Linked DNA regions of Drosophila melanogaster. The protein of the gene in region 1 interacts with the protein of each later gene in a biochemical or structural test. Each region holds a gene or a part of one and is shown in the gene's direction. Other genes may lie near its edges.

Evidence for each region.
Region 2: the proteins of side-VI (region 1) and beat-Vb form a complex in vitro, tested with the Drosophila melanogaster proteins (one study listed by BioGRID).
Region 3: the proteins of side-VI (region 1) and beat-Va form a complex in vitro, tested with the Drosophila melanogaster proteins (one study listed by BioGRID).

What each region holds. Positions count from the first base shown.
Region 1 is NT_033777.3:10,968,117-10,979,334, forward strand, and holds the start of side-VI (sidestep VI), read left to right. Parts: upstream 1-4,264; 5' UTR 4,265-5,233; intron 5,234-11,218.
Region 2 is NT_033777.3:12,910,922-12,921,735, forward strand, and holds the start of beat-Vb (beaten path Vb), read left to right. Parts: upstream 1-5,134; 5' UTR 5,135-5,222; exon of another isoform or gene 5,223-5,483; intron 5,484-7,522; 5' UTR 7,523-7,799; coding exon 7,800-7,848; intron 7,849-10,814. Other genes in the region: CG10909 (uncharacterized protein), read right to left, coding at 1-309.
Region 3 is NT_033777.3:12,842,783-12,853,611, reverse strand, and holds the start of beat-Va (beaten path Va), read left to right. Parts: upstream 1-5,192; 5' UTR 5,193-5,658; intron 5,659-6,418; 5' UTR 6,419-6,587; coding exon 6,588-6,633; intron 6,634-10,014; coding exon 10,015-10,168; intron 10,169-10,226; coding exon 10,227-10,435; intron 10,436-10,499; coding exon 10,500-10,633; intron 10,634-10,754; coding exon 10,755-10,829.

The sequences.
Region 1 (11,218 bases):
GTCGCTATAATCGAAAATTTTTTAATGACGTTTTGTCCTCAGCTAGTTGTCATATTTTTCTTAGTGGAAAACATTGTTGTCCCACACACTTGCTACTTGCAACTGTGTTTGTCCTCCTCCCGCCAGGACTTTTAATATTTAAGGAAGCCTGGTTCTGGCCAGGAGGCTCCCATCGTCCATCGTCAATCGTCCGTCTGCCGCTGCTGCGTTTGCTTGCCTCACTGGCTGCCAACAGCTAGAAAGCAGTGGCAAAAGCAGCAACAGCACCAACATCGACTCACACACACAGCAACATGTGTTAAAAGTTTTTGTTGCAAGGACTTGGTTACACCTCTGCGGCTGGCTGTGAATCTAGATTGCTGCAACAAGGAGTTGCCGGCGCCGGTGCTGCTGTTTCCTTTTAGTTCGGCTTCCCCCAGCTTTTTTGCAAGTTTCGGTAAACTTGCCACTTGGCCAAAAAGCAGAAGACTTGTCCCCGCCATGCTCCCAATGGAATGTATCTCAATGTGTGGTAAAATAAATTTACAGCTTGACCGAAAGGAAGCAAGATAGAAGGACAGACAAAGGAGTAGAAAAACGTTCTCAGAAGCACAACGAATGCGAAACACTCTTAATACTTGTTACTGTCTCATTATGTCCTTAAAGAAGTATATATTATTATGCATCTCTTTGCTCAATAGATAATTATCATAAATTAATTATGTAATTATTTTCTGTTAAGTACAAAGGCAATTACTATCAAGCCAAGTAGATGGAAATCAACATTCTAATGCCCCGCCCACACATTGCACTTATACATTCGAATATCTTACCTGATGAATAATTAACGGATAACTTTTTAGCCTGCCAAAGGACAAAGCAATCCTTTGAGTACCCATTGGTCAGTTTGATGGGCGCCACATTCCAGCCCAGTCCGTTCGGTTTCTGTGGTTACTATTTGAAGTTTTGATTAATTAATGAGTGAAACCCATCTGAGGTTCGCCCGCCAGAGGTTGAAAAAGGTCTCAATGACTTGGCTCTGGCAGGCTGTAATTTCGTATTGCTTGCTATTCATTAGCAGGCCATCAGTAACCGTATCCAATTTGAGCCTGACGCTCCAAATTCGATTCGTCCTCAGTTTAATTGAGTGTTTGATTTAATTATAGACCATTTAAATGCCGTTGTGCTGCCGCTGTTGGTGCTGCATCATTAAGCATTGATTACGAAAGCTGATTAATTAGTTGCCCTGCCCGCACACATAGGCATGTTGATGCCATGGCACACTCTCTCACACACACACACACACACACGCCTAGTCCTATTTATGACAATTCATCAAAAGTGCGTTATAATTATGTAATTGTTGCTCACAGCGCGTCGTATTCGCATGCAAATTGCGTGTGTTGTCGGGCTAATTGTGATTGCAGGGCTCTGGTTTGCTAGTTTTTTTTTTTAAGCGGTTAGGAGAAGTCAAATTTGAGACCAGCGCCAAAAGCTTTCCGATGCACCATCACCAACTCAACTTTTAATGACAAAACGTTGAACACCGCTTGGCCCTAACTTTGCCCAGCTCATTTCAGCTCAGTTCACTTTGGAAAAATTTCGAAATTTCGATAAAAATTCGACCTAAATATTTGATAAGCAGTTAGTTCTCTAAATCGCCGTAGCTTCACTTTAGAATATTCATCTTTCTTTCACCAAATTATCTTGAACACCCTTTAAAGTGCACACATTTAATTAGCCGAATTTATTTTCGACAGTGTGTGCTCATCATCAGGGAGCGGTGGCCACAGAAACCGCCGTCTCATGATTTAAATTTAATGCAACTTTTGCTTTATAGCCAAACTGTCGCGCACACAGACACACATCACACAGAACCCCCACCCACCCACACACACACATTAATGTAAAAGCTATAAAGTCATGTGCAACACCATTGCCACTTCCGGGCGGTGGCAACAGCAGCAAAACAGGAGCAGCTGCAGACCCAGGAGCAGGAGCAGGAGCGGAGCAGGATCAGCCGCCGGTTCGGGACTCTCTGGCAGCTATTTGGTCACTGCACTTAGTGCACTTCCTTTGCTCGCATTGCTGGGGTTTTTCGCCAGCCAGGGAAAAGGGGTTAAGGGTTTTTTAAACTTGCTACTCATTTCGGATTGGGGTAGTTGGAAATAATACTGCATTATTACTTATACTTAAAAGAAATCAACAAATTAAAATTAATAAATGATAAAATGATTATAAGATATAAGGAAACTGAAACAATACATCTATTGCAAAATCTAAAATACAACAACTAATGGGTATCAAATCGGCCATTCCTGATTAGTTTTAGACTGATTCTGGTGCAGCTGCTCTCGTTGCTGCCGCCTGATGAAATGCCATGCTTGGCGGTTGAGCGTTGAGATTTTGTAGGAACAGAAGACCGACAATCTACACCACACACGAAACTGCATGTGTGTGTGAGTGTCGTCCTGGGCTTTTGATTATGTGTGTGTGAGTGATGGAATTTTGCAGTTTTAGTTAATGTTTAGCCAGCGCTATTTTGGCCCAAAGAATGTCGCGTGGAGGAGCCAAATACTTTGACAACATCACCAGTTACATTTTCTATATGTGCACACTATATATATATATGGGGAAAGTAAGGAAAAAGAGTCCGCGAGTGTGTGTGTGTGTGTGTGTGTGCTGACGAAAGTGGTTTAGTGCTATCTTCATTTCGGCATTGGATTTGCCATTAGAGTTTGGCCAAGCGTGTAAATGAAATTTGATAAGATTAGGCTGTGCAATTGTTGCAGTGCTACCCATGTGTCCCATTCTTCATCCTTTGAGTGGATCGCCTTGCAAAGCGAGAGCTTTCCTTGAGTGGTATAAGAGTGAAACCGTTGGAAATTTTGAAAAAATCCCATTCATGCCAAGCAAAAGTTTTCGCGTTCCACAATTCATTCGGTTTTTTTTTTGCTGGTTTCGGGCGCATGTCTGGCGAAACCACGCTTTCGAAATCGAAAAGAGAGCCAGAGAAAGCCGAGAGAAAGTTCAGAGAAAGCGTGAGAGATGCGAGCTTCGGGTCTCGTGGTCCCATGTCAACTTACATGCTTACACCCCATTGTAGTAGAGTTTTTTTTGTAAGCGGTGTGATGCGTGATTTTGATGGTGGTGTAGGTTAAGTTGTAGCGGTGCCATTTTTTAGCCTACACCTTGAGGAAATCAATCAGGAAATTCTGATTAATTAATCACTCAGCTGGGCTTACATTTTGGGTTTAATAAGTAGGACATTAGAGTTTCTTAAAACGATGCCAGAACCCGGAAATGGTTCTATTGGTCTTTTATTCACCTATACGGACTTTATATATTTAATTGGGTTTATAGTCTTACTGCATGAACTTTAGCCAAACATTAGTGAAGTATTCATTGTAATCTGTGATCCTTGACTGGCTGCCTTGACCAGCGAAACTGCAGTAAGTGCGAGATGCTCTTGGTAACCGCTTTCTGAAACTCTCATTCATCTAGGTAGATGCGATTTTGAAGAGAGGCAGACATCGTGAGTTCGATGGAAACGCAAAAGAGAGGGAAAGCAAAAGGTTCCACAGGAATGCGTGGTGGAATATGTTTTTAGAAGGTTCGCAAGGGCAAAAGGGTGTTGAGGTAGGACTGGACACCCACGGCAGGGGGGAAGGGAAGTGGAAAGTCGCAAATAAATCATGATCGGGATTTCATATTGATATACTTCCATCATCATGGCAGCATATTCAAAAATATTGGTTCAAAAAACAATAAAAACATTTGGGATCCTTTCAAGTAAGGTATAAGATGATTTTTAATACAAGATATAGTCAACAAGGTGAATACTTTTCATAACTTTTAGTATTATTATCAATAGATAAAAATAAGAAGTGATTTATTTTTTCATTCACAAACATCTTTTTTATCTTTTGCCCCTGGTAGTTTATATTTCGTTTTTAAAACTTGACAATTCAAGTTCATGAAGCGTTTGAGGTAAGCTTACCTACCACTTGGCTTCCACAGATTGACAACCAAGACGACTTTTGGATTTTACAACCAAAACTCTTATACTCTGGCCCTTGCCAGCCGTTCTGGCTTTCGAAATCGAATCGGCGGCAAGTGTTGGCCCACTTACAAGGCTCACACACACACACACACAGGGAAACCCAAAGGATTCGACTGTTCGGCAAAGTCGAAAATGCGCGACCCGAGCGAAAGCCGAAGGATCCGAATCGTGGAGGGCGATGGCAAAAGTGGCCAAAGCCACGAATGAATGGCCAGGCGCTTTAGTACTGAAAAGGTCGTGGATTTGTGTAGTTGTCGTGCTCCGTTGCCGCCGTTTGTCGTTCTCGTTTTCGTTGTCGTGTTGTCGTTGTCGTTGTCGCTGTCGTACGGGCGGCATCGCATCGCATCGCATCGCCTCACATCGCGTAGCCGCAGTGTTGACCGTCCGCATCCGCAAACTGGCGAACGAAGCAATTGGGCTGGAAATCAAGAAACAAGTGCCACCCAACCTAGTCAAAAGTATATATCTCAATCGGTTATCGCAATTGTTGAATGCTGAATATACAACAACCAAATAAAAATAGAAAAACGTCAAGCGAGACGAGAGTGCACGTGCTAGAAGTAGAAGTAGAAACATCTCAAACGCCTGCGTTAAGTTTCTGAATGTGTTGTTATGCAAATCGCGTCCTTTTTGGCTTGAGGCAACAATACAGTGAGTGTATGTGAGTGAGTGCGATTGGGAGCGTGTATGTGTGTGCCGCAGTTACAGTGTACGACTATATATATGTGCGCTTGTGTACGCGCCCACAATGCATAAATCAAAATACACATTATTGAGCCATAAATAAAGTTCGCATCGGCTGCTACTTTAAATATTGGCCTCGCGGCTGGCGGCGATTCGAAGACGAGAAAGTTAGCAGCAGAAGCAAAGCAAAAGCAAGGCCGACGAAATCGAAATTTATGCCTCGCACCCGCCAAATACTTTGCCATATTTTTTGCTCAATTGCCTGCCGCTGCTCCTCCAACTCCTTCAGCTCCTTTTCATATGATGTGTGTGCGTCTCGCTGGCTGCATAAAAACTCGCTTAATGCCAACACGCCCTCTACAGGAGCAATAAGCAATAAGCACAGCAGCAGCAACAACTCCATTTCCTCCTAACCCCTGAGGGCTGATTTTATTACAAAGGCCGTAAAAAACGCCAAAAAGCGGAGTAAACGCCACAGCAAAAGGATACAATACGGCCGAAACAGGGGTAAGTGCATGTGGGAAGTAAATATCTACCAAAATAAACGTACATATACTTTTGTACCGACAAACCTAATCTTCAGACGAAAGTGAGCGCTCAAAAGTATGCTAAGAATAATAATGCAGGCCATTGTGCTAAGAAGGTTGAAGCATTAAAAATAGAAACATTTATTCTATTCAGCTTGGAGGTATGTGGAAATGTAATGGTATTAAAGTGAAAACAATTCCACACAAAAGGCCTGAATACAAGAAATAAATTCAGTGCTTAATTCAGTGCAGTCTTCTTGTAATAATAATTCGGAATTGAATGAAAATAAAGAGTTTTATTGGAAACAAATCTAAGACGGTGTAGGAAAATTGGAGGATTTAAATATCTTTTAGGAATTTCATTCCTAATTCCCTAATATTAAAGAATCATTTTGTTGTCAACGAATGGCAGCAAAATATTGTATCAAAAAATGGTAAAACAATTATGGAAAACCAAACGCTTGTTACGTTACTTATTAGTTAAAGGAATTTTAAATCTTTTCAAAGCTGTTGAACACAACTTGTGCTTTCTTAAATTCTTCAGCTGCGAATAAATTTTTTATAATCATTTGTCAGACTTTGCTGGTATAAAGCTTTATAAGTTTAGTCATCAGTATTGCTGAAATTCCCTGCTGATCTCTTTGAAGGCACAACGCCAAAGTGGGTCACACAGATGAGTGGAACTTACAATTTGTCTGCGATTGTGTCAGGGATAATATTTCCCATTGCCTTTGATCATTTTGTTGATGCCGGGGTGTCAGTTAGTCAGTCTGAGAAGTGCGTTAGTCTATCCCGAGGAGACATAAGCCATGGAAATCATATTAAAATGCTGTCTGTGCATAACCTACTTTTTATTTCTATATACATACATATATGGCAAGCAGAGTAGTATACAACTCAGTGAGTCTCGCACCCGGTTGCATTGTGGACTGGCTGGCTGGTAACATTCGTATTCGCATTCGCACATATATTGTTGCCATTTCACTTTTGCTGAGCACGTCTTCGCATGTGGATGTGGATGTGAATGTGAATGTGAATGTGGATATGGGTAAGGGTATATGTGTGGCTATGGGTATGGGTGTTGGCAAGGCTGCAGGCTCTTGCCAAATGCGCTTTGTTGCCGCCATTGTCAACATGGCCAGAAACGAGGAGCGGCAGCAGGAAATTTTTGCATTTTTCGGCTCAGTCAACGCAACGTGGCTTGGCAACAGGCCAGGGATGCATCAGGGGTGGGGAGCTATCTCAGATCTGATTTTCTGCAGAGCTTAAATTATTAAAAGCCTGGTCCAAAAGTTAAGGCTTCTTCTCGCATAAATCAAGCTGGCCAGGGGACAACCTGGCGTATGCGCAACTTTAATAACATGAGCAGCAGCTGCAAAAGTTTCGCCTGTCAGGGGGAGCAAGTTTAATGCAGCATGTAAATATTGTCATGACACACGAAAACTTTCACTGGCCCTTTGTTGACAGGCTCTTGAGGACAACGGCTGAAAGGATGCGAGTTGGTGTGTGTAGACAGACGAGATTTATGAGCACAAATGGAAGACGAAGCGTGTGACTCGCATAAAGCTCGGAGTGAAAAGTTTCACAATTAATTTTAATAGTTAATAGCGGAACTATCCAAGATGAATTTTGGGACATCCGATATAAGCAGCAGGTTGCTGGGAACAGCGGAAAATAAATATATATATATATACATAAGCAGAATAAACATTTTCCTAATATTGAATTATTTTTACGTTACACTTTAACCCTAACAAAATTACATATGAAAAAACCAGATTTAAATGTATTAACTAATATATGGGCCATTCAAATGAAAACATGATAATATATTGTAGTTTTGTTTTACCTTTCGAAGAAAAGGGCCATAAAAAAGTGAATTTAATAGGAATCGATTACATAGTTTGTCAGATTTAAAAAATACAAATTAAAGACTGAATCACAGTACATTTTTAAAGGTTTTATTTGTATGAAAGAATTGGGTTTTGGAGAAACCAAAAAAGAAAACCAATGGGTACATTACAGGAGCCCACAAATCGCGATATCAAATGACCTGAGGTGTACTAATTAAAACCATTTTTAAATTAAACAACGCTGAGGAATATCACGTTCGTACTTTAATCAAATGAAATGATTTAATTTGTTTTTTTATGTTGATCAAAGAAGTACATGCTTTATAGCACGTATTTCTCTTTGCCAAATCGTCCCTTCTCTTTCAAATGGAAGCGCTTTAAATCACACTGGCGAATATCACATTTCAAAGTAAAGAAGAATTGAAATCAAAGCTTTTGCTGTACAAAGCCAAATAATCCATCAAGTGGCATTAACTTGAAACAATAAATTTCACACACAGCTGCAGAGGTAAGCCCAAACCAACATAGGTCTCGAACAACTAGAGCTCTGGCACTTGAAGTGCTTGACAACTAATCAGGTTTCAAATGCCTAAGCACACACACTCGTACACTGCTCGAAAAAAGTGTAAGAGTATCGGGCAAGGGGAAATAAATCCGTTCAGAGTGTCGGTAATCAAAGCTGCTTACAGCCTGCGCTTTTATTGTATTTTATGGGGAATTGAGCATCGGTTTTGCGCAAATATCTTTGCGGATTTTATTTTGTGCCCAATACAGTAGATGGGAATGACCGATTGAATTTCGTTGGAAAACCTATCTAAATTTGGCTTTGAATAATTGGTTGAATAGCTTAACTTGAGGAACGAACTTATACGTCTTCTTGTATTAATGTATAAATAAATGATTGGAAAACTATTAAATATAAGATACGGAAGATTAACAAAAGAAGAGCTCATTATTGTTAATTCTTATTTCTAAATCGTAGTCATGCCTGGACTGGAAATGGGAACAAATTGTTTAAAAATATGAAGCCATGCATTCAGTCCGGCCAATAAGCAGACAACGATTGCCTGAAGTTTTACAAAATAACTGAGAATAATAATGTACTTTCAATGTTGACCAGTACACAACATTAAAGGAGGACCGAAGGCGGGCAAAGCCGTACCATAAAAAGCAAAATCCGAAGGATGAAATTTTTTTAGATGGGGCATTACTTGCTGCAGAAAATGAACCCATTCAAATGGTCGACCCAAATCTGCACGGGGCAAGAAAATGAAGGAGTGCAACAGCATAAAAAGTAAAAGAGCAACATGAGCTCAAAACTACGGCCAGAACTCAACTGGCATATTGCTATAGCCCCGGAATATAGTAAACTTTGCACTAGTTGCAAGGAAAGAGTATAGGGATTACAACAAGAACTATACTCAATAGTTTCATAGGGTTTCGAAAGCATTCCCGATTACCATTTTTGTTTTATATAGCTACATTATATCTTGTTTTTAAAACCATTTATTTATGTTTCATTTTTCTTATGTTGCGCCACGTTTCTATCAAAAGGTAATACCATCATATCGTAAAACTATAAAAGCCCTGACAGTTAGTTATGCAAAGTGTATTAAAAGCATCGTCTTGCTGGGCAACTTTCAACTCTCTCCCACACTTTTTCCCTCCTTGGGGCTTTTAGTTTTCCACCAGTTTCCCTCTGCGTTTACCGTTGGCATTGTGTGCGCATAATAGTCTGAAATTAAATCAGCGAGCGCGTGGGTAACTTAAAATAATAGCCATTGCTTATGTTTAAGTAAAATATGTACTTTGTGTACGAAATAAGTGACCGGGATGGAGAGAGCAGACCGGGATGAAGTTCCTGCAGCTGCTGCGTCCTTTTTTCTCTCTCTCTCCTGATTTCGGACTGCTTGCTTATTTCCGTTTCCGCTTGGCCTGCTGCTTGCTGCATTTTTTATTACCAGCTCACCGTTCTGGCACATTATTTAGACCGCTCCCGACCACCTACTCTCTCTCCATTACATTTCGTTTTATTATAGAATTTCCATTGCATACTTTGGGAGAGGCGCCCAAGAGCTTAGCTTGATTTTTAGCTGCAGTTTCGCTGGGGTTATCACTGGCTAAGAACAAACAAAAATTTGGCTACACTATAATTTAAGGCTGACAGGGTAACATTCTCCGATTCCCCGTCTCTATTGACACTGGCTAGTGTCTGTAATTCTCTGTTTGCCCAACTATTGTCAGTGGGAAATTTCGGTGCGACTGCGGCAGATATATTTCAATAATAATAATTAATATAACGAAACAGAGACTACGACTGCTTGGAACTATTGATTTATGGCCTTTGGTAAATTGTGGCACTTAGTGTAATTGTTTATGTATATGCCAAAGGTTCTACAAATGGGGTCTGGGGTAGCCACTTGATTAGCCTTCACACACCGACATGAGTACACCTACCCTGGGTTGTACTCCTGACATACCTGAAAACATCTGGAAAGCACACGCACACACACTATTGACATACATTTTCCAAAAATTTCATTACGATTTTAATTGAATTATTCATTTCCATTCAAGCTAGGCAATTTGTTTGCCATTCCAGCTTTTCGTATAGAGCTCAACTTTATTTTAACTGATTGTTTAGCTGTGACCATGCTTTGCAACCATTTCAAAATAGTTACTTAAATATTAATTTCATATCGTTTAACTCTCATTTAAATTCAAATGTTTCTCTCTGTACTGTAATTAGTACTTCGGGTAGACTTACTAATTCATTGACAATTATAAAAAATGTTTTCATAAATTAAACATTTCTTTTATTAAATTTAGGGAGATATTCAATTAAATTTAATGTTCTTCTTATAAAGCAATTGCTTACAGAAACGTCCATTCAAATCTGTACTTTTCCGTTTATTTGCTAATTTTTAAGTTCCTTAAACAAATCGATAGCAGACTGAGCGGAAACTTTTGCTGCTTGTATTAAAAAAACATTTACTTACCCAAAATGTAGGAAGATAAACCACAGCAAAACAAACATGCAAACGAAATGAGCGGAAGCAGACTTCTGGCATATGAAATGAGCAAATAAAAGAGACATTCAATTATCTAAAAAGCAAAACAAATATGAAAATTAATTTGACATGTTTGACATTTTGGGCAAACACTGGCATGAACATGAAAGGGGGCGCAGGGGCGTGGTCGACTGAGAGTGACAGAAAATGCCAGAAAAACATTTGATTAACCCAGATAAAAGGGCATGCAGAATAGGTCTGGGGATTGGGGAAAATGGCATGACAAACGCTTAACTCTTTAATCAGTGATTCCTTTTGACCTCTGCTCGGCTAATTTTTCACGCGAATATGAGCATTTTCGCTCGTCCTTCTCATTGCCAAAGAATTTTCTTGCCGTTTTCGGCTTTCGTTCCTTTTGGTTTCTGTCATAATTTCTATGCGCTAGTCACGCAAACTTCTGCGTCTCGAGTCGAGTGTCCCTCGATGTCCTCCGTGATCCTTCGTCTCTGTGTGTTTGTCACGCATGAAGCGCTGACAGCAAAGCAAACAGCAAACAGCAAACACAGGACGAGCGAACTATTAAAAGCAAACAGGCGCACACACACACACACGTGGAGAACTAAAGCGGACGGGGCCTAAAAAGTGTGGAAAAGCAAGGACATTGCAAAAGGATTTTTTCGCAATAAGCAGCAGAGGCTACAATGTTTCAACCGCTTCTGCCGTTTCTGCTGCTGCTGCTGTTCATGCTGATGATGATGATGGCTAAGATGATAGAAAATGGCAACAAAATATTTCCTGTCTGCGCTTAAAGATTTCCCAGACTCACACACACTCTGCCAAACTGGCATCTAGCCTGGGGCCCTGAAATTGAAAGCGCGTTGCATGTCAGCGACCCTCTCTCTCGACCACGCCCCTTTTCCCACCCCCTGGGCCACGCCCACATCCGTCTGCTTAGGCCCTTACTGGGCTTGCAAAACTTTTGCGACGCGTATGAAAATGATGCCAGCACACGCATGAATGTCTGTGGGCAAGCACATCATTTTTGCCTTTGCTGTCGTCTTTTGATATTATTCATACCCTAAAAGAAAGTATTTTCATATT
Region 2 (10,814 bases), 1.9 Mb from region 1:
CTCCAACGTGACCTCTTGCTCATGACCTTGATCTTCAACGTTACATTCACTTTGACAATCATTTTGTATTGAATCCCCTCCTGCGGATTCAATGTCCCATATGGAGGTCCTAGTGATCTTGGGTTCTGGATTCCACGATGGTTTTATGGAGTTCTTAATGGGGCTCTGGATGGAAGTTTCTTTTGTGGGATTCTCGAAGTTTTTAGATGTAATTTTCGGATCCTCAGGGTGGATGGTCTTTCCAGGAACTTCTTCTTCAAGAGTACTGCTTGGAGGGGACCGCCGCTTCGACTTGGATTCCATACTCATCTCATCAGTTTTTTCTCAACTTTATTGAATTTTATTCGAAACCGATTTATCCCCACATCGGTTGTATGCTCAAAATTTGAAGTGGATCCCAATGGTTGGGGCTCGGATTCAGATTGTGGCAAAAGCTACATTTAAAATATTAAGATATATTTTTTCTAATTTAATAGAATTTGTCTTTACGCACATCGATATTATCTGATCATAAATTTATTTAATTTGAGATAAGAATTATAGCTATTACATATTAAAAATGTTTTAGTAAGTAATCGCTTCTTCAAGTATTTCTCATTACTGAATATTCATAAATGGTAATCACTATAAATTCCTTGAGGCTGAGTTTTTTGTACGAATAATAATTAATTTTATTCTCCGCCCGCGGACTCTTCAGTAAAATGCTCCGCGCAAAAGGGGAGTGGGTGGTGGTTTGAGTTGAGTTGGGTGGCGATCGAAGGTCAGTCGCCGGGTCTAAAAAGTGCGCCCACAAATGCTGCACATAATTTAACAAAGTGAACTGCACCGCAGTAGTTGCAACAGCAACAAAAGCAACAGCAGCATCAGGAACAACAACGACATCATGGGCAATAATAATGGCCCAGAACAAGGCAACAACAAGAACAATAAGCGAAACAACAGCAGGCAGCAACATTTCGACTTCATTTTGTTGTGGTTTTCTTTTGGCGCTCGCTGGGTTCCCTCTATCCCGCTTTTTCTGGCAATGTACATAAAACTTTTCGGGCCACTACAATTTTTAATGCACTCTCTGACATTGTGAGGGGGGAGACGGGGGCGGCAAGGACGAAGGACGAACAGGGGGTGGTAGTGGTGAACGGAGGCCATTCTGGAGAACAAGCAAATGAAACTCAAGTGCATGTAGCTCTAGCCGGGCCAAGTGGTGCAATAAAAAAAACAAATACATTCGACTGTTAAAATACCCTTTTAATCAACTTGTATAGAAGCAGCAGAACAAAAGTGCCAATTAAAAAAAATTACTTTGACACATTAAACTTACGAATTTTCAGGAATCCTAAAAAGCAAAAAAATGGAAGCCAATATTGTTTGATATAATGAAGTTAATGGGCTAATTTGTATTTGTATACCATAATTTAGTTTAGTTATTTAACAATTTTCTTAGAAAAATAGAATGCCCACTGTCAGGGTATAAAAACAAACCAACGTCGAAAAACATCACAAGGCAAAAAAAATGAGCAAAAAAAAGCAGCAGGAATGAAATAAAACAGGCGCAAGAAAGGCCAAAAAGGAAAACAATAATAATACACCAGGGGCCGTGGGTGAAAGGCGGGGAAAACTCAGATTTTTAATAAACTTGCCGCGGCTCCTTTTTCGTTTTTCGCATTTCGCTGCATACTTTTGGGCGCAGCAGCGACAATAGTCGCATTATTGTTGCCACAGCGGCTGCTTATTTACGAGTATTTGCCTAGGAATGTGGCGAGCATCTTGCCAAGTGGCCAAAACCCATGCCCAACCTCCCTTTCATCTGTATAATGAGCCGCCAAGAGCGCCAGACGAAGACGGCCATGGCAGTTCATGAAAAATCAAGAGCCAAGAACTTTTTAGCCACCAAAACTTTGACTCAATGTAAATTTTGCCCGATCATGTTTGAAGTTTATCGCGCCAGCGGAAGGGGCAGTTCTTGGCCATGTTGGGACCACCCACACGACACGTCTGCTGCAACTCCATTAATCCCCGAGGAACCAAGATGACACGACACATTCCCGTATGGTTGATCCTTACCGAAACCCTTGTGCCTCAATGACACGATTCAAAAATGTGAAAGAATATTGAAAGAAGAAAAGGTTTAAACTTAAAACAAAAGTTCTATAAAGTTTCACATGCCTTCTACTTTGTCAGTTTTTGAGAATGTCATTTTAAATTTAAGAAAAAATATATGTATCTCATATAGTTCAACCTATTATTTACATATATTTTAAGGTAAATTCTTTGTACTAATTATGCCTCATTAGAACCCTGTTCTTTAAATGACATTTTTCATAACGTTTGGTGCACCCTTTTCGTTCAGTATCATATGACCATGAGCTAAGCTCCTGTCCCGGCTTCCTTAACTTGGCCAGAACGTGATGGGTGGAATGGGATGCAGTCGAATGTGTCCCGTTCTGGATTCTGTGAGGTGGGGGAATGCATTTTTAAAATACTCGCGCACATTTTCGCAAATGGCAACAAACGGCGCCAAGTTTAGCAGCTGCGCTGCCTTCGGGTGCTGTAAAATGCAAAATCCAAATGCCCTGCTCCCTTTAGCCATCGTGCCATCGCCTGCATGGCTTTTGGCATAACATTTTTAGCATATTTGTTGTAGTCTAAACACGTGACAAGTGTGCGAGTGTGTGAGAGTGCCATTAGTCCCTTGGTCATGCGCCGGGTACGGGAAACTCACGTGCCATCTACGGATATGCAGCTATTGCCCGGAAAAAAGGCCAAAATAAAAACTTTACCGCAAGAACTTTACCGGCGACAACAACGGCAAAATACGAGAATGGCCTTTGACCGGGGGGAAATCGCTGTGGTCATATATTTACCATTGCATCGGCATACTTTCTGGCCCACGTTTTAATCAATTTTTCAAGCATTTAAGTGCACTTTATTCGAGGGTTACCGCAGCAAAAATTTGTCACGGTCTCATATATTGGTTGAATCATACTTAAAGCACACTCTAAAATATCTGATAATGCCATTCACAAAAGTTACTAAATTTCTGCATGCATAAAAATCCTACTAAATTAAAATCAAACATTTAGGATATTTTTTTTCGAATCCTATAAAGTTTAATGCTTTGTTCAGCTTGTTTAATAGTCCTAACATTTTTTAAAGTTAATTCAATTAAAGAAGATCCCCGCGAAAAATTGCATACCTCCAGTGGACTAAGTAATCGGATTGTGCCAAATTCCACATAGTTTACGAGCTTGCATCGTGACCTGGCCCAAATCCCCGGAGAGGGCAGGCGACAATAATGCCTGAAATTAAATAAATATGCTCGATTATTTTCAGTTCATGGCGATGTAAGTTGGTGGCAAAAAGTGTGAAATATATTCAATAAATACTTGAATATTAAATCAGCTTAATGCGAACGAACGTCGAGGGCGTGTGACATCACCTAGCGAGCTCATTAAGCCCATAAGCTTTATTGATTTTTAACAAGCTACCAGTGGCTGTGACGAAAATGTACAAAAATTAATTATTGCCGGCCGAGCTGAGTGGAAAATTCATTTGAATTGATTTGAGTTGATTTTATTTTTAACACAATTTAATTTAACCATCAACTTGCAGCCCATTAAAGGTAAACTCATTTGCATTATAGGGGGGATATTTTATTTGACAGCTTAATGAATGAAAGAAAATAATTATCTTAAAAGTTTGGGCTGTCGTTATTGAATTAAAAGTTGTACATGACAACTATGGGACAAATGGATTGGAAGCACAAAGTTACTTATTTATTCACGGTTGATCCTATTCTTATATAATTATTCTCTAAGTGTAATCGATTTTAGTGTTCTTTTTCACTGCACGGACACATTTTGTAAATAAGAATAAGAATTTATATTCTGCTCGCCATTTTTTTCAGTGTCTGCAACAATGGCAGTGTGTTTCATCGGAATGACAGGAGTTGAACAAACCACAGCACAACATTAACATCAGCCTGGCTGACAGCTGCAGAGACTTCAGCTACAGGATCGGGAACAAAATGAGATAACCCCGGTTTGGCCTTGCCAAGAGCAGCAGCTGCAACTCTGTGAGTAACTGATAACTGCAGCCATTCGCCATTTGTTTCGCCAAATACCCCGCCACGCCCCCTTGCAGTTCCGCCCCATACCCGGCAGCCCGTTTCAAGCAAAACAAATGAAATCGATAAGAAACTAAGCGGCTTGCCGTCGAAATTCCATTTCTTTTCGAGCCAAGCTGATACTGCAGCTGCGGCTTAAGCTGCAGGATGCATTCCGCCGTGTCTGCCGGCCAAAATGCGGCCAACAGCGACAAGGAGTGGCATGTGGCTAATAGGATTTGGCCGCCACATCGCCACGAGTGGGTTGACATTGGGTAGAGAATGTTGTTTTCAATTGTCTACTTCAGTGCACAAGGCCGTCGCGGGTTAATTCTCCTGCTAAGCAACTTTGTATTGGATTTTATCTGAGGGATTTACTCAATTCTTTTTTGGTGAAAAAGGTTGTAGTTTATTTTGTTAGGTTCTAGCCCTAGGGCATACTTTACAGCCTTATTTATTGATAATATATTATCATTATTGTAATAAGTAAAAGCTGCAGGGGTATTTTTGGTACAATTTGGTTCACGCCATTAAACGCATATTAGAAAAATATTATAATATTAGTTTGTTTTAGTTGTAGCCGAAGCATTCCATATATGGATGGCTTTTATATAATATTTGTTATATTACTATACTTTCAAGTTCGCAAAATAAGAATCAAATTCTGTTACTCTCTTTTACATACTCTGTTGAGGTCAATGTTAGTACTAACATGCAATGTCCCGGCCTAACATCTGTTGATTTCAAAGTCTCCGCTCTGTTAGCCTTACATTACAGACCCTTAACAGACGCTACAAAGCCACAAGCTAACAGAACCAGCATCCCAACAGTTTTTAACACCATTAAAACCAGAGAAAATCCAAGAGCCATACCGCGCCCAATGACACGGCCTTTGGCCTTCTCTTTCAATGCCGTTCTCCAAATGAGAGAAATCTCTGTGAAACTCCCGACTTAAAACGAAGCTGTGTCGGCGGAGGTCTTGCGAAAGTACAACCGCGGCATCAAAGAGTTCCCCAGAATCCGTGCCGGAATCCCGAATCCGGAGTCCGCTGGCCGTAGTCAGTTTTACGGCAACTTTGGTGCGGAGCGGTACGAAGGGAAAGCGCTGCCGAGCGATACGGTACGGTCCATCTGTTGTTTTTAAATCGACGTCAACAGACAAAAGAGGAACACACAGGGCAATGGAGCAAATTTAAAAATTTAAATTCAAGTTGAAAATCTAATATATCAAAATTATCGCACACGTGCTGTGAAATTATGGATTTATGCAAATTTTGTAATAGATCGCAAAATGGCGGTGCAGCAGCATTGGCAGACTGAAAGTGCATAAATATTTCAAAAGTCATGTGTAGATTTTAGACATCCGTACCGAAAGAGAGGGGTATGTATGCGGGAAAGAGAGGACTGCAGACGTGTGTGTTGGTGTGCATGTGTGTCATTTAAGCCAGTCAATGAAATGTTTGTTAATTATGTATGTGTATACATTACATTGCCATTAAGTAATTAACTCAGCTTCAAGCAGAGCTGTTTAAGTCACTATCGTTTTCCCACTCTCTCTCTCTCGCGCTGGGTGTGCACGTGTGAGTTACATTTGGGGTCATGCGGATATGAGTGTATGTGTGAGTGCTTGACATTGTCTACTTCGATGGGAAACATGTTGCGTATACGCCATGTTAATGCAAAACAAATTGAGAGCAAATTGATATGCCAAACAACTGCAACTACCACTTGAAATCGAAAAGGAAATGGAAACGTCAAGTGCGACCTGATATTGCCATTAATTTGATATTTATATTATAATTGGAAGACAGACGATTTTCGAGATTTTGAGCGCCTTGGGGAAAAGTCCTGGTGATTCATCAGCAAGTCAGTCTCACAAAGCATTTGTCTAATTGCATAAGCGTAGTCTACTTTTGCAACAATCAATTCGAACCATTTTAATTGTTGTCTGCTCTCTAGTATGTGAATCGTATTTTTGTGCATTTGCGTAGTCCTCGATTTGATTTCGTTATCTGTCATGTGCATGCTTGAGTGGCATTCTTGGCTTGGGGAATTGCAAATCATATTTTTGTCAAAATATTTTTATTGTCTGGCATCTACTACTCGTCCAGATCTTGTCAATCAGCAATATAAATTGCATAAAAATAATTCAATTAACAAGTGTTCAAACTAGCAGAAGAACAATGACTTTTCGCTTTTCGATTTGACAATGATATGGTTTGCTTACTCATCTAAAATGATAGATAACGATTTACAGCTTTAGTGAAACAAACATAAAGCTAGTACAAAAATTTATGAATTTATAACATAAAGAAGGTGTCGTTTTTCTTGCAAGATTCAAAAATGAATGCAGTGAAAACAAAACATTTGTCATTTATTGACTTTTGAAATAATTTTTTTGTCTAATTTAGGTGTGCGTTGATTTAAATATTTGAAATATTTACTGATACACATTGCAGTCAGTCCTTCTTTTTCCGACCTGTTTCTGTCCGTTCCAATAATAATTGTAATCTGTTTATTTACTTTACTTGACCACCTGTGTATTAAGCGAAAAATTTTAGTTGTCAACGGCCATCTCATAGTTCAGAGGCTCACCGTCTGTTTTTGAAAAATAAAGTGCCGTTCCGCAGCAAAAACTTTGCCACGGTAATTTTAATAAACGCGTCAATGAAACCAAAACAATGAGGACAGCATCAGCAACAATAACAACAGTTTTAGCGAGGGGAAGCCCACAAAAAAGAAGCCACAATTTGATTAGAGCATTAAAGGACTTTGTGCCACAAAGCCTGAAGCGTCCTGCCGAGGTCAGGATGTCTGTTCCCCAGACTTTCAGATTTTGCCTGGACCTCGGCCAGCTATGAGAATTTTTGGCTTCTGAAGCAGACAAAGTTGTCTGCTATATTTTCAATTTTTTTTTTTTTTTTGTTTTGCCTATGCTGCTGCTGGAGCTTGGTGTATTTTTGAAACTGTCAACGTTTAAATAACGCTGACAATGACAATAAACAAATGCAGTGGCCAAACAGAATGAAAGCGAAAAAAAAGCCGAGAAAAGTTTAATAAAAAACGGAGCCGAGCCGAAACTTTACAAAAGTCAGACATGTGCGGGCGAGGGAGTGGTCTATAGATGCACAGAGAAAAATGGTCATATTAGATCATTTGGGTTTTAACATATATTTGTGATATTTCAGAATCAATATATATGCAGTACCATTAAATGTTATAAATGGATTTTATATTATATTTTAACTGGTTTTTCAGTACGGCTACTGAACCTCTTTTCTTTGCGTGCACAGTTATTAGACAAAGAATATATTTTGCGCTTGGACGCCAAAAAAGTTTTAAAATCGAATAACCTTAAAACAAAATGGTAAAGTGAAAGATTTTTTTAAGCTATCCAGGACTCTTCACTTATTTTTCTAGCTCATTGGCCTGCTGACCTGTCAATGGCATTTATCGATATCGAAACTATATCTATGTAGATAAAGGACGATGTAATCATGAGAGGCGGCGCGTAGACCAGAAAAAGTTTTGCCCCCGAAAGTTTGGACTAATAGAAAATATGGCCGGCCATTGAGTTTGGCCAAAAAGGAGCAAAGTTTCTCGCCTTCCCATCAACATCGTCCCGCCTCGATATTGTTCCATGTGGCCAGAGAGGTGGATCGAAATCAGCTGGGGACTTTAAAGGCGGCTGCCCACAATGGACCTGGGCCGCTGGCTGCTGCAGCTGGGCGTGCACATGCTGCTGGGTAAGTTAACGTTAAAGTACTGGCCACAGGATATCTCCTATGGAGAACCCGGTCCTGGGCCATAATAATGAAAATATTTGAAACTTTTCATTTTATTGCCTTTTGCTTTTAATCCTTTGGCAAGCCGCCGCAAACCTTTTTTACGACAAAGTCCACGTTGTCGGCAACTTTGTGGCTCCCGCTTACATATACAGACACACACACTATGACTATAGTCGTTTAGGCATTTCCGTTTCCGCTCGGCGCTTTTGTGCATTTGGCTTCTGTGTGACCCGAACACGAAATTAGCATAGCAATAAATGTGTTTGTTTGGGTGTCGCCGCCTTTTGACCCGGTCGCTGCTGATTTTCTCTGCTGACCCGACCTCGACCGCATCAATTTATGTTAATTTTATGCCGCCGAAATTGTTTTTTAAATACACTTTTAATTATGGCCAATGAAAGACAAAATGAACCGAAACGTACAGAACTTGGAACGCAAATAAAAATAATAATTTCAATTAGCTTTAATGTGTCTGCCACAGATAAGCTTTCTTTTTCCACTTTTGTTGCTCTGGCAACACGGCGGATAAGCAATATTCTACGAGGGAAATACAAAAAAAACAAGTCAACGCTGGTAGCAAGAAAAAGGACCTGCTAAAAATAGAACATTTTATTTATAAACATTTATTACGGAATATTTTCCGAGTTTTATATGCAAGAGCAAATATTTGATACTCATAATTTTACCACATTACAGTTCCGGAATATGAAAAGTTTGCACTTTTGTGCAAAGCATAAAGTCATAAACGTGCAGTTAATAATGAGAAAATATTAAAAAAGTTGCAGCAATCTCGCCGTGATGCATTCGACACGATTAAACGATTCTAACCGAATTTAAACGAAAATATATTGATTGCCAAAACATTTTGGTGAAGTGTATTTTCAGCGCTTTTGTTTCGTCGCCGTTTAAATTAAATTTAAATTGACCCCTTTTACTATTCTGTAAATTTATTGAACATTATTTGGTTATGCAAATTTGCAATATGCAAAACGTATTTATTACCAAAAAAAAGAGTGTCGAACAAAATGTCAAATGATGTGCACAGTTGGTTGGGTTTCCCCTTTAACGAGCTCATGCATTGTTTGAGGAACCTCAAATGGCAAGGACAAGGACATAGACGCAGACATTGACAAATGCCAGGACACTCGGCTGCGATGGCAGAACATTTGCATAAACCAAACATAAATGCGACAATTTCAACCCGGAATACGCCTTAAAGGATTTACCCCACTGTGTAAAAATCGTCTCTCTGCCGGTCGCTATATTTTATTTGCACTTTTCTAAAATTTATAGACGCTCTTAAAATTCACTGCAAACAGTGGCTGCCTGCTACGAAAATAAATATTTGGCTACAGCAACGAGGAGTCGTTGCCGGCCCCAAGTGCCATAAAGTTTATGTTGTAATTTATAATTTATATTTCCTTTCTTAATAAATAAATAAATAGTCAAGTTTATGTTTGAGTTTTATGATTTATATTTTAAGTTATTTCAACTGCAACACCAGCACCACGACCTACTCACAGCAAAAACGTACAAGAAGGAAAGAAGGAATAAAAAGAGTGGTATTCTCTTACAATATGTTTTATGGCATAAAAGGTGTGGCCATTCATATCAAATATAAAGTAGTGTTGTTTAACGTTATTTTTGTAGGTTGAATAGTATATTCCAACACGCCCCCTCAAAAATAACGTCTATAATTAAAAACATAACAATAATATTCATTAGTAACTATCAAATGTGGGTGGTGTGCATTCTGGGAAGTGTTAACTGATCCAGCATTTGCTGCGAGGATACGGGGAAAACCCAGAAAAACCCGATCAGATCATTGTAACAAAATATGTTTACAGGAATTTAAATTTGAAAAATATATATAAAAAATTTCATTCAGCATTCGATTGGTCGTCTTGCAGCAAACCCAATTTGTCTCGTAACTCCACAAATCTCGCAGCAGGCAACGGTTTTGTAAATATGTCAGCCAGTTGATTCTCTGTAGGAATATACTCAAGACAAATCACATTATTCTGAACTTGCTCTCTGGCAAAATGATATTTAATATCAATATGTTTAGCTCGTTTATGACATGAGGGATTGTTTGCTATGCTAATACAGCCTTGATTGTCTTCGTAAATTTTAATGGGGTTTTCTAGTTTAATGTTAATACTAGTTAATAAAAATTTAAGCCATAGAGCTTCTCTCACGGCTTCAAATAGGGCCATATACTCAGCTTCAGTTGATGAGGCTGCTACTGAGTTCTGTCTCTTTGTATTCCAACAAATGAGATTAAAATCAAACATTTTGAATAAATACCCTGTTGTACTTTTTCTATCAATTTCACTACCAGCCCAATCAGAATCCACATAACCAATAATTTTATTTTCAAATGCCAAGTTCTTTTTAAAAATCAATTTCATATCGATAGTGCCCTTCAAATATCTAAGAACTCTTTTTAAGTTCTGCCATAATTCGGAGTTATTTTTGCTACTATATCTGCTCAAGATATTTACTGCAGTAGTTAAATCTGGGCGTGTACAAAGCATTATGTACATTAAACATCCTATGAGGCTACGGCATGGGGTATTGCAGTCTTCATCTGAATTAAGTAATTCATAATTTATTTTACTAGGTAAAGGAGTACTAACTGCATTACAATTTTCCATGTTAAATTTACTTAAAATTTTTTTAACATATGCAGATTGGCTTAAATAGATTTTATCTTCCTGCATCTCTATCCTAATTCCAATAAAATGTTTTATTTCATTTAGGTCAGTCATCCTAAACTTTTCCATTAAATACCTTTTGAAGTTATTCATTCTTGTCATATCTCCTGTAGCTATAACCACATCATCTACATATAATAATACATATATGTTTTCATTGATGTTACCTTTGTCTAAAATATATATACAGCGATCAACTGAAGAGTT
Region 3 (10,829 bases), 1.9 Mb from region 1:
AAGGATAATGGAGCAGGAGTGAGGTAGCAGAATGGTAAATGGCGAGAGTGTATCCTTCTGCGGTAGGCATCGAAGTGACGAAACTGCAAAATATTTCAGTCACGTTTTAAATGTAAAAATCTCAATCACGTGCTCGAAATGCGCGCATTCACAATATGCACAAGCAACGAGGACAAGCAACAAATAAAAGTCCAAGCCGACTGTTACACTGCAAAAGACTTAAAGGTCTTGAAATTGTAAGGTAAATTTGTATTTGACATATTACCTTATTTCAAAAAGTGCTGTCTACAGAGGGGTAATTTATGTTACGTTTACCATTTAATAGTTTCGTACATAAAATGTATGCTCATGGTAAGTGATCGAATTTTCTCTCCATATCGACTGGCTACACATGAAAATTCCGGGCTCTTGGCCAACTGCAAATCGAAAGGAAGCCGTGGCTCGAAATGCGGCAAAAGCCCTTAACAGGTACTTGTTGTATCGATGATTTAATGTCGCCATTGGCGGGATTGCAGACCAACTGAGATGAGTTTCGGCGGTTGGATCTAATGATGTTATTGTTGCTACTGCACCTGCATCATTTGTGGCCGCTCAAATTGCATAATGTATGCAAAAAGCTTAACAAACTGTGCGCATCGCTGATTGAAATATTGAAATCAAGTGGCATTTACAGCTGCCCAAGCACAAGCAGCGAATCGAATAGGTACTCGCAGTATATATGTAATATGTGGACACGGATGTGTTTACCTGTGGACAGCACACAATTCGCAGCAATTTCCGTTTCCTTTTCACGCCGCTTGTATGATTTTCACACCGCTCTCGCTTGATTGATTGAAATGTTCGCTGATCAACACCTGATTGAAATGCCCTTTCTGGGAATCAAATTGTACATTTTGATGTGCAATTTTTACGTGTAAAAAATTATTAACTTAAATTGAAAAATAGAACTACATTAAAGTTAATATATATATATTATATTATATATTATATATTAATATTGGAAAGGGTATTTATGATTTTTATTGTGTCTTAAATTTCCAACCTTCTTGACATGCTGTAAATACTTTTTACTGCTGGGAGTTGGCATTTTCACCTATGAACTTTTTTTAAATAAATTCGCCCTTGTTAAGTTTTTCTAAAGGGGCGATGGGACAGTGATGCAACGCTCGTTTAATTGGAGGCTATTGATACTTCAAAAGAGCTCTTGGGAATATTTAACTTAATTTGCCAATGATTGATTGTTTCACAAATGTTTGTGGATCGCATGGTAATAACGATTTATTATTTGCAATTAATAAAAAAAAAACTCTACTTCACAGCCTTTAAATATATAAAGTATTTAATGTAAAGTGAAGAGAGGTCCATTAAAAGAATGTAGTTTCGATTAGATCTGCATAATATAAAGCAATAAAAACAGAAATTAATGGAAATTTCAGTGTCGAGCGTATACTTACTGTTTGTTGTGTAAATCAAACAATAAATTGCGTTTATACCAAGTAGCTGTAAAATATTTAAATTTTTTGCCACTTAAGGTCTTATTGATACTGAAATGATTTGATACTATCAAAATAATTTGATACTTTTACGTTAAATGGATTTTTTTTGAGAAGGTAGAGTACAAGTTTCATTGTGTTTTCGTGCAATTAAGTGCTAGGCTTCAGGTTCAATCACCTTGTTTATAAACTGACGAATTAAGAGTTTTTCAGTTGCGGTTCTCCACTCAATAAATTTTCATTGGCAGCCACTAATATCCATGGGTCGTGTCAAAAAGCATTTTGTCGGGGGACATGGCTAACAAGCAAATGGCAAACGCTAATTTTAGCCATCGTCCGGCATCAGCACTTTCGAATTTGGTTTAGCGAAATCCAGTTGTTTGCATTTATGGCGGCCCTGCTGAAATGAACATGCAAATGACCGTTTTATTACGGACATTTTATTATTGTGCCAAAAAGTTCCATTAAATACGTCAGTTCGCTTTCGGTATTCGAATGTGCGTAAGTCCCGTTGCGGCTTTGTGCCTAGCCATTTAAAAAGCCAAAAAATATATATTTTGCGAACATGACAGCGGCAACAAAAAATCAATTTGTAAATGTTTTTAGAGTGCAGGCGGGACGGAAATGGGGAAACTTTGACATTCCGCACAACTTTGGCAGCTGCCGTTGTTGCCGTGGCAATTGCTGTTGCATATTTTCCGATATGGCCGGAAAATGAAACGAAACACGATGCTCTGCTATGCAATGCTATGCGACGCGACGCACGGAAAACCTGCCAAGTGACCCCATTGGCAGCTGCAATGGCCGTTTTGTAATTAGCGCTCGATTCGACGACTCCGAGGGGAGTTTCCTGACCTCAATTACTTTGTCACCATTTCAATTTGCAATTTCAGCCATTAACTAGTTACACTCGATGCAATTAAACTTGCACTTTTCCAGGTGCCTTGCAGCCAGAAGAAAAGCGCACCCTTTCCCTAACCGTTGACGGCGGTTTTCCCCCACCCACAAAATGTTGTTTCCTAGTGAAAGTTCCCACATAGATACATATATACATATATATGTTGTAAACAGCCAGCGAATCGCACAGATACGAATACAAAACCCTTCGCCGTCCAGCTGCATGTGCGTTCCATTGGAATAATTTGAAATTGGAAAAAAGGAATTCTCCTCTTTTTGCCATCTTCTCGTCGAGTTAATTGCAAATTGGATGAAATTGTAATTTTACACTTCATTTGATTCAATTCATGGCTGATTGACAATTTAGTTTTTCATTAAGGTAACTGTATAAAAATTCATAACAACACTGTAACATAGAATGTTTGGCTTAGTAATCATGCAATTTTTAAAGCAAACAGACGGCAAGTAAAACTTTTAGAATGAAAAAAAAAACATAAAAAAGATATATTTTATGCAATTTCTTAACATAGTTTATACATATTTAAAATATCAGGCTTTGATGGGGTAATTTCTCTCACTACACTGTACGGAAGGCAGCGAAAAGCGTTCTTAGGATGAACCAATTGCGGCCAAAAATGACGGCTCCTTGATTGCAGGCATCTTGCAGAAGTTGGGGAGAAAAAGTGTGTCAATGTGATGGAGTCCTAGGGGAAGGTAAGTAGTCCTCAATTTATAGGTCGATCCGCTGGAGAACAACCTTTTACGAAAAGACAGTCTTTCGAAGCCTACGCCTGTAAAAAGCAAAGACTTAGACATGCAAACATTAACAATAAAATGTTTCGAACATCTGTAAAACATTTAATTAGTATTATATTTTTAATAAACAGGTTATCTAGAATATGTGTCGTAGATTTAGCAACTTATTATTTCACACTGCAATGTCAGACTGAAAAGAATCACGGAAAAAATTTATTTCAGAGCTCTGGGGTTGATATTTTCAACCAAACAACCTTTGCATACGAATATGCAAGCGGTAGATAAAAGTCTGCAGTTTTTTGCGAGTTTTTCAGAATAATTCTAGCTTGCTCCCCGCATATTTGAGCATATCTTATTAATTATTGAGGCCCTTTGGGGCGGACAAGTTTTCGAGGCGAGTGAAACGCATACGTAGTGTGGTAACACGTTATAAACAAAAGTCATAAAGCAAACTTAAAGTTATGAATTTTTAAAATTTCTGATTTATTTTCAGGAAAACTTTTTTATCCCACCCTCGTGCAGACGGATCTCCATCCAGATGCGTGTGTGTGTGTGTGGGGAGCTGGCGCAGCTTCTGCATTTTTTGGCAAGTTTTTGTGCATACCTTTTTTCTATTCTTTTTAACTTTCTGCTGCTTGGCATAAAGTTTGAGTTGTCACGTTACTTGCGAGCGGAGATGAGCGAAATTCGCATAAAATAAATAGCTGGCAGATGAAGGCAGGTACCGTGCGAGTAAACCGGATCCGGAAACGCCATTTACAGCAAAAGAAAGTGTCGCATATGCTCAGGCGCACGTTGCTTTTGTTTTAATATTCATATTCGGGCATCAGAAATTATTCGTTGGAATTAAGTTACAGGACGAAAAAGGGAAGGTGGGCCAACAAGCTAGGAAGCGAGCTTAAAAGGGACAGCGAGCAAAATGCTTTGAATTTAAAATCTGCAATTTTCTGTTGATTGCCGCACCCAGCAGACTGCAGTTTTATAGTAACATACAGCAGCAACAATAGCAACAACCTCAAAGTGTTGGCGGTTGGCAAAGGGAAAAGAAGCAGCAGCAGCAGTAGCAGTAGAAGCAGCAGCAGCAGCAACATCATCACAACTTTTGCGTAAAATTCCAGTCATGTGTCCCTAACAAATCCCTGCATTATTCATGAAATGATAAGATGACTTTGTGCTGCCGTCGTCGTCATTCGCTCTAGAATCCCGCCCACACCAGCAAGCGAACAACCGCCATCACACCCACGTACCACCTCCCTCGCTGGAGGAGCAGCCCACTATGCACGTAATATTTTTACATGCAGCTGCAACACGGACTTTTCCTTCGGTCTGCTCAGTTTGTTGTCTGCATTTAACTACCAAGGATATCCGTTAACTATAAAACACGCACTGGCAAGAGCAACAACAGAGCACAAGGTGTTTTTGGTTTTAAAGCAAACTTTTTGAGATGGCCGCAGTATTAACGGGCCATTCATACGGGCCTGTTACTGGCTAAATTAACCGGCTAAAACTAACTGTTAAAGGGGTTTTAAAATTCCAGCGATCATAAAATTGTGGAATTTCAAGATGAATGCAATGTTGTTTATTCAAGTTTCTAAGTTTTTATTTATATTTAGATATCATTAAATATTGAAAAACTTAAGGCAATCATTTTACATTAAATAACAGAGTATATCCTCCATATGACAAATCTAATAAATGTTATGTTTAGGCCTGTTAAAAATAACATTTATGCTGTTAAGAATAACATCCATTATGCAGAATGCCAACAGACTGGGCGACAAAGCTACAAATCTCATCGCCTCTCTTAGATACGCTCTTTGGGATCGACTCTCGCGGCCCCATGGGTCCCGTTACAGGCTCAGCTGTCGTGTAACCGAGCATCGTGATGCTCCCGAGGTCCTTTCAGATGCTGAGCGCACCATATTACACGACAGCCGGTCACGAAGTCCTTCAGAGACGGCAACGCCGACTGCGCAGCCGACAGCAGTGGCATCCGTGAAGTTGAACTCACGAATCCGAGTCGCAGCTTCAGTCAGTTCGTAAGCCTGAAGCCGCGCGGAGATACTTTCCACAGAAGTCCTCAATCGCCGACCGAATCGGGCACAATATAAAAACAAAAACCACACAAACACATGGAGATTATTAATTCAAATAAAGAAAATCGTAATTCGTTATTGTGTCATATAACTTAATATCTGTAAGACGGAATATATACACACTTCATCAGTCCTGCCGAAAGGTCAATTAACCCAAGCGTGAAGTAAATATTAACCCAAAAAATCTAAGCGAAGCCAAGCTGCCAAGTGAAAAGAAAAAGGCAGAAGTTCCGAAAGTACTCTTGAACCTTGCTAAACAAAAACGAAACAAGTTTAAATTGCACTGGACTGGCAACTTCCGCTTCCGTTGAGTGCTTCAATTTCAGTTTAATGTTAACTCCGACAAAACCTAAATTGACAAGAACAACCGAGCCAAAAATAAAGTGAACGTAAACCAAGAAACCTAAGGAAAAAAGGTACTGGAGCACGGGGTCTCAAACGAAAAGGGGGCGTGGTCGTGGCAGGTGGATGGCTTATTCAAATATTAAACACATGGATTCGTTTGAATTTGGCATTTAAATTATTTAAGTTGACAAACGCACACACACTCCTACACGAGAAGTACAACAAGACAGGATGCCAGGGCGTCTGCCACGCCCACACGTCCTTGTTTTCTCTGTTTTTTCCTGCTTTCCCTTTTAAGCCAGTTCGTACACAGAGAAGTAAAGTGCTCATGAGATACGTCGAAGACAAGTTAACAACTTAACTTGCTAAGATAATAAAATATCAAATTTTGATAGCACACCATTTTCTGTCTTATTCTAATTGGACTAGTAGAAGGTTCATATTTACTTATATTATATTTACTTCCTGATTATTTTTTATACAATCCAAAATAAATATTTGAATAATAAACATAAAACGTGTACTTGTCAAGCACTACTTACATGCCAATTTTTATTTTCTCCGTGTATATCCTGTCTCCAGCTCCTTGGACTTTGTTACTTTTTTCCGAAATGCTCTAACGTTTGTTATTTATTTATAACGACACTGACAGAGCGTATCCTTTGAACTTTTCTGCATGAGTTTGTCGCTGAGTTTATTTATTTATATTCTCTTGTGCCGTTACTCCATCTCGCTGTGGGTTTTGAGTCCTTCTTTTGTACGTCTCCTTTTGACACAGTGTTCAATTAATTGAGCTACTCGTTTGACCTCCACTTGCTTGTTCGATTCTAGTTTTTTTGGGCGTTCTTTCCGACTCCAAACACTCGATACAAAGGGATACTTGGAGATAGGACGGGGATAAACTGCATAAATCAACGCCACTGCAAAAGCCGAGAGCAACAATAACTGGAAGCAATTAATTTTATTCAAACAAGAGCAACAATAAGGACGACGACAAAAAATGGATTACGGCTGGCTGATGTTTCTGTTCATCGCACTTTTAATTGGTAAGTTTTTGTGGTCCTCCGCCGCTCGAAACGGAGGAAATTAATATTATTTTTTTATGGTTTTCGGGGATTGACATTTGGTTGCAGTGCATTCAGTGCAGTGTTTGTTTGGTTAATGAAGCGCTCGCGGGGATTTGCAGGCAACGGTGCGTATGCGTAATGTGATCCGGACAAATCGCCCTTGTCGTTTATTGTGAATCGGTTTGTTATTATTTTAATTGTTATTGGTGTTTACCGAGAACACCGACCTCAAATCAATATTGGCAAAGTTTTTGCCTCCGGCTGTTTTAATGACTTTTGCCATAATTTCAACGGCTGCCGCAGTTTCAGTGGTTGCTGCACTTGCCCCCCCTTCCCATTGCCGACCCTTTTGGCATTCGGTAATTTCTGCTGCCTGAACTTTTGCTGATGCAGCAGTAGCAGCAGCAGTAGCAGCACATCTTGAGTGCAGTTTAAACTTAAATTGTATTTTTGAAATGCTCGCAATTAGGCAAACTGCCAAAGGCAGCCGCCCTCCGCATTTACCCGCTTTTCCACGACTTGTTATTCCCCCCTGCACTCGAATTGCCAATGGCAATGGGGCAATTAATTTGGAGCGCATTAAATGAGCTGGCTCACTCCGCTTTTCACTCTTCTCGTCGAGAACTAGAAATTGTATTCCATCATGTGTGCGAGAGTGCTGGAAGAGTTCAACTGCCAAAGCAGGTTTTCACTTTTTCTTTTCAACCTACTAACTTGCAATTGGTTAGAGTTCTGGCAAGCTTGATATGAACTAATAAATGTTTAGAATTGGCTAGTGTAAAAAAGAAGATTCTACAACTTTATGATTCTAAAGAATGTTTATAGAGTGTGCCATGTAGTTATGCACAATTGTCAGAAATGTATAACCCATGTATATTTAAAATAAAAATGTTTAACTTACTCCGTTGTTAAATATTATTTTTTTATATTTTTTATCTAACCAACAATATGTTATATATATTTTATTACCGTATAGTACCTTCTGACCTACTGATAGAATCTGTGGATAGATTAAGTGCTATTCCCTGCGATTTTTTTTGCACGGGCACTGGTACATTTTCCACACTCACCTCGGAAAACTTTCATGCAGGAAATTCATGCTATCCAGGACACGCACACAAAGGCTTTGACCACAAAGAGAGCCGGAGAAAGGATTTGCAGAAAAAGTTCTGCTGTGGAGTTGTAGCTTTTCAATTTCTGTGGACGCTTCTATATTAAGAGTGTTTGCCGGCAACAACAATTTGGCCTGCCTAATGGAATTAAATATTGTCCATTGTGTGACGTCCAATTTACGATGTCGCCTTGGGTAACCGCAAAGAAACTACAACAAATAGCAAAGGCTTGGGACCTATTTATTTACTTTTGAAATCTGTTGGACTCTTCAGTCATATGGCACCCAATTAATTTGCGGATTTATACGCAACTAAAAATAGGAAAAACACTTTGCCTGTTTGCCAGACTCTTATAGATTCTTTTTCTCCACTTTGTGGCTTATATTGCGCAAGCAAATAAAATGAAGATATATTTATATATCTATATATTTGTGCTTACCACAAAAGACTATCAAACTCTAAAGAAATTTGTACACAGTTAAGTTCAAGATTATGATTCTAGAGATTTTATCCTGTTTTGTTCACAGTTAATGAACAAACTACAAAGAAACTTAAAAATTAATTTGATTAGCTGATAAGTAGGTATTTGGTAGAAAGAAAAGTTGTGTGACTTTTTTTCTCTACTTTTGCTATACTCCATTATGTGAAACAGTTGAGTATGTATTTTTAGAAAGAAAATCTTCGCCACTAAACCACATAGAATTATTTTCAAGAAAACATGCCACCGCAAAAATGTTTGCATAAATGTCTCAACTCGGCATCTCCAAATGAATTTATCACCAAACTTGTACGGCGATGGTCATGTCCCAAAAATGCATGTGTTCACTTGGGAGAATATGTGTGCGGATTTCAGTGGGTTGGCTTTGGGTTAAACGTATGAGTAGGTAAATGTGTGTGCCTTTTCTCGAATGAAATGTGCAGGTTAATTATCAGCAAAGTTTTCCTGTGCTGAGGTGTAAATATATCTACGTTGGTATCTCAGTCCCAGCTTAACCCTCTCCTTTCTTTGCGTTTTATTGGAGACACAGCTTAACCTATGCAGTGGAAATTTAGTTGTTTTTCCCTCGGATGGCTAAAAGTTTTAACTATTTTCCGTTGATTTAAAAGCATAATGAATTCTAACAATTTGCCACATTTAATCACACGTATCTCAAATAAATATGAATAAAATATTTATTTGTGTAATTGTGCGACATTGTTTGTGTTTATGTTAATTTGCATATGCGCAGAATGCCTAAAAGCTTTAGTGGTTAGTGCACAAGGTGTTTTTTAAATTGTAAATAAAGCATTAGTAAAATCGAACTACTTTAAACAAATGTAATGGTGTTAGCCGAATATATAATAAATTATGTACATTTTTTCATACACTCGCTTAAAAAGTATTTTAAGCCGGAATTTCATATCCCAACGCTTTTTCAGAATCGCCTAATATTTGTACACCTATTTCAGCTTATAAAACAGATTTTTAATTACAAATATAAGATCCCTACAGAAGTTAAGCATCGTCCAAATAAGTGATTTCCAACTGCTGAATATCTGTCATGTCCTGTTGCAAAATTACTTTTACTTTGCACTCCTTCTTATACGCTCATATCGGCTCATGTTAAATTTATTTTTGTGGGGGCAAAAGTCGAGTCATTTGACATTTGGTTTGTCCGCATTTCTTATCAGTTGCTGGACCAGCCACCCACTGCTTGTTTATTGGGTTGGTGGTCAGCCATGTCAGAATCTACCTACTACCATATGGCAGATACATATGGCTCCACATCCATTGCTTTTTTTCTTGCTCTTACGTAGGTAGTCGTCTGCCCAACTAACTGTTTTGCATATTCATTTCAAGAAATTTGAAATTTATTCGATGTCTCATGTGACAGAACTTGGACACAAAGCACCAGCCGTGTTCCCCCACCTTTTCCCATTTTCCCAGGTCAGTCACCTGGGCAAATTAAAAATTACGCATACTACACCTACCGCTGAACATGTCCCTGGATTTTGGTCAACAAAATTTTGCCATTGGCCTGTGGGCTTTGCTATCCAGCATTTCGGGGATACGAAGTCATTCCATACTTAAAGCATACATATGTGCCACGCCCTACGGTTCGTACAACAAATATGGTATATGTTGATCATCGAGTTCTTTGGGGAAAACAACATCTCAAAATGATCAAAAGCTTTAAAAAGGAATGCAAAATTTCAATAGAATATTGGATCTATACACATTTGTAACACTTTTCTTTATGTGTTCTAGACTACCCAATCGCATATGCTCTGTTTGTGACGGATATCAGTGTGCCCGAGATCGTAGATTTTCGGGACAATGTGACCTTATCTTGCAGCTACGATATGCGAGGTCACACGCTAAACTCGGTCAAATGGTACAAAGATCACGAGGAGTTTTTCAGGTAACCACTGCTAGTTCTACTAAAAAATAAATACTCAATGACTCAATATCCTGATTAGATATTCCCCCTTGACGAGTCCGATTTACATGACTTTCGATGTGGCTGGTCTGCAAGTGCTGGAGGGGAAATACGTGTGCAACGAATCGAGCTGTCGACTGGATTTGAGTTTACAAGGTGCCAAGTCCACAGGACTCTATAAGTGCGAAGTTAGCGGCGATGCGCCCCATTTTAAGCTGGCGGACAAGGCCGACAACATGACTGTTGCAGGTGAGCTTTCCATAATAGTTTGGTCATCTATTTCAGTAAATAATTTTTTATTTTAATATTTTAGCACTGCCTCAGAACGACCCGCTAATCGAGAGCTTCAACTCGATGTATCGCATGGAGGAATACCTTAAAGCCACCTGCATATCGGATTTTTCCAGCCTGCCCACTCGACTCACCTGGTACATCAATGGCGAGCAGGTTTGTTCCATTCACTAAATAAGAGCCATAATAATATAGTTATAACCAAAAGGCTATGATAATGTTTATCGTTATAAAGTTTGTATTTAACTAATTCAATTAAATTTTGCACTCTTTGCAGCCGCTCTTAGGCGAACTGTATCCCACAACGGACACAAGTTTGGCGGCCCATGATTATGTACTGAGGCGACAGCGG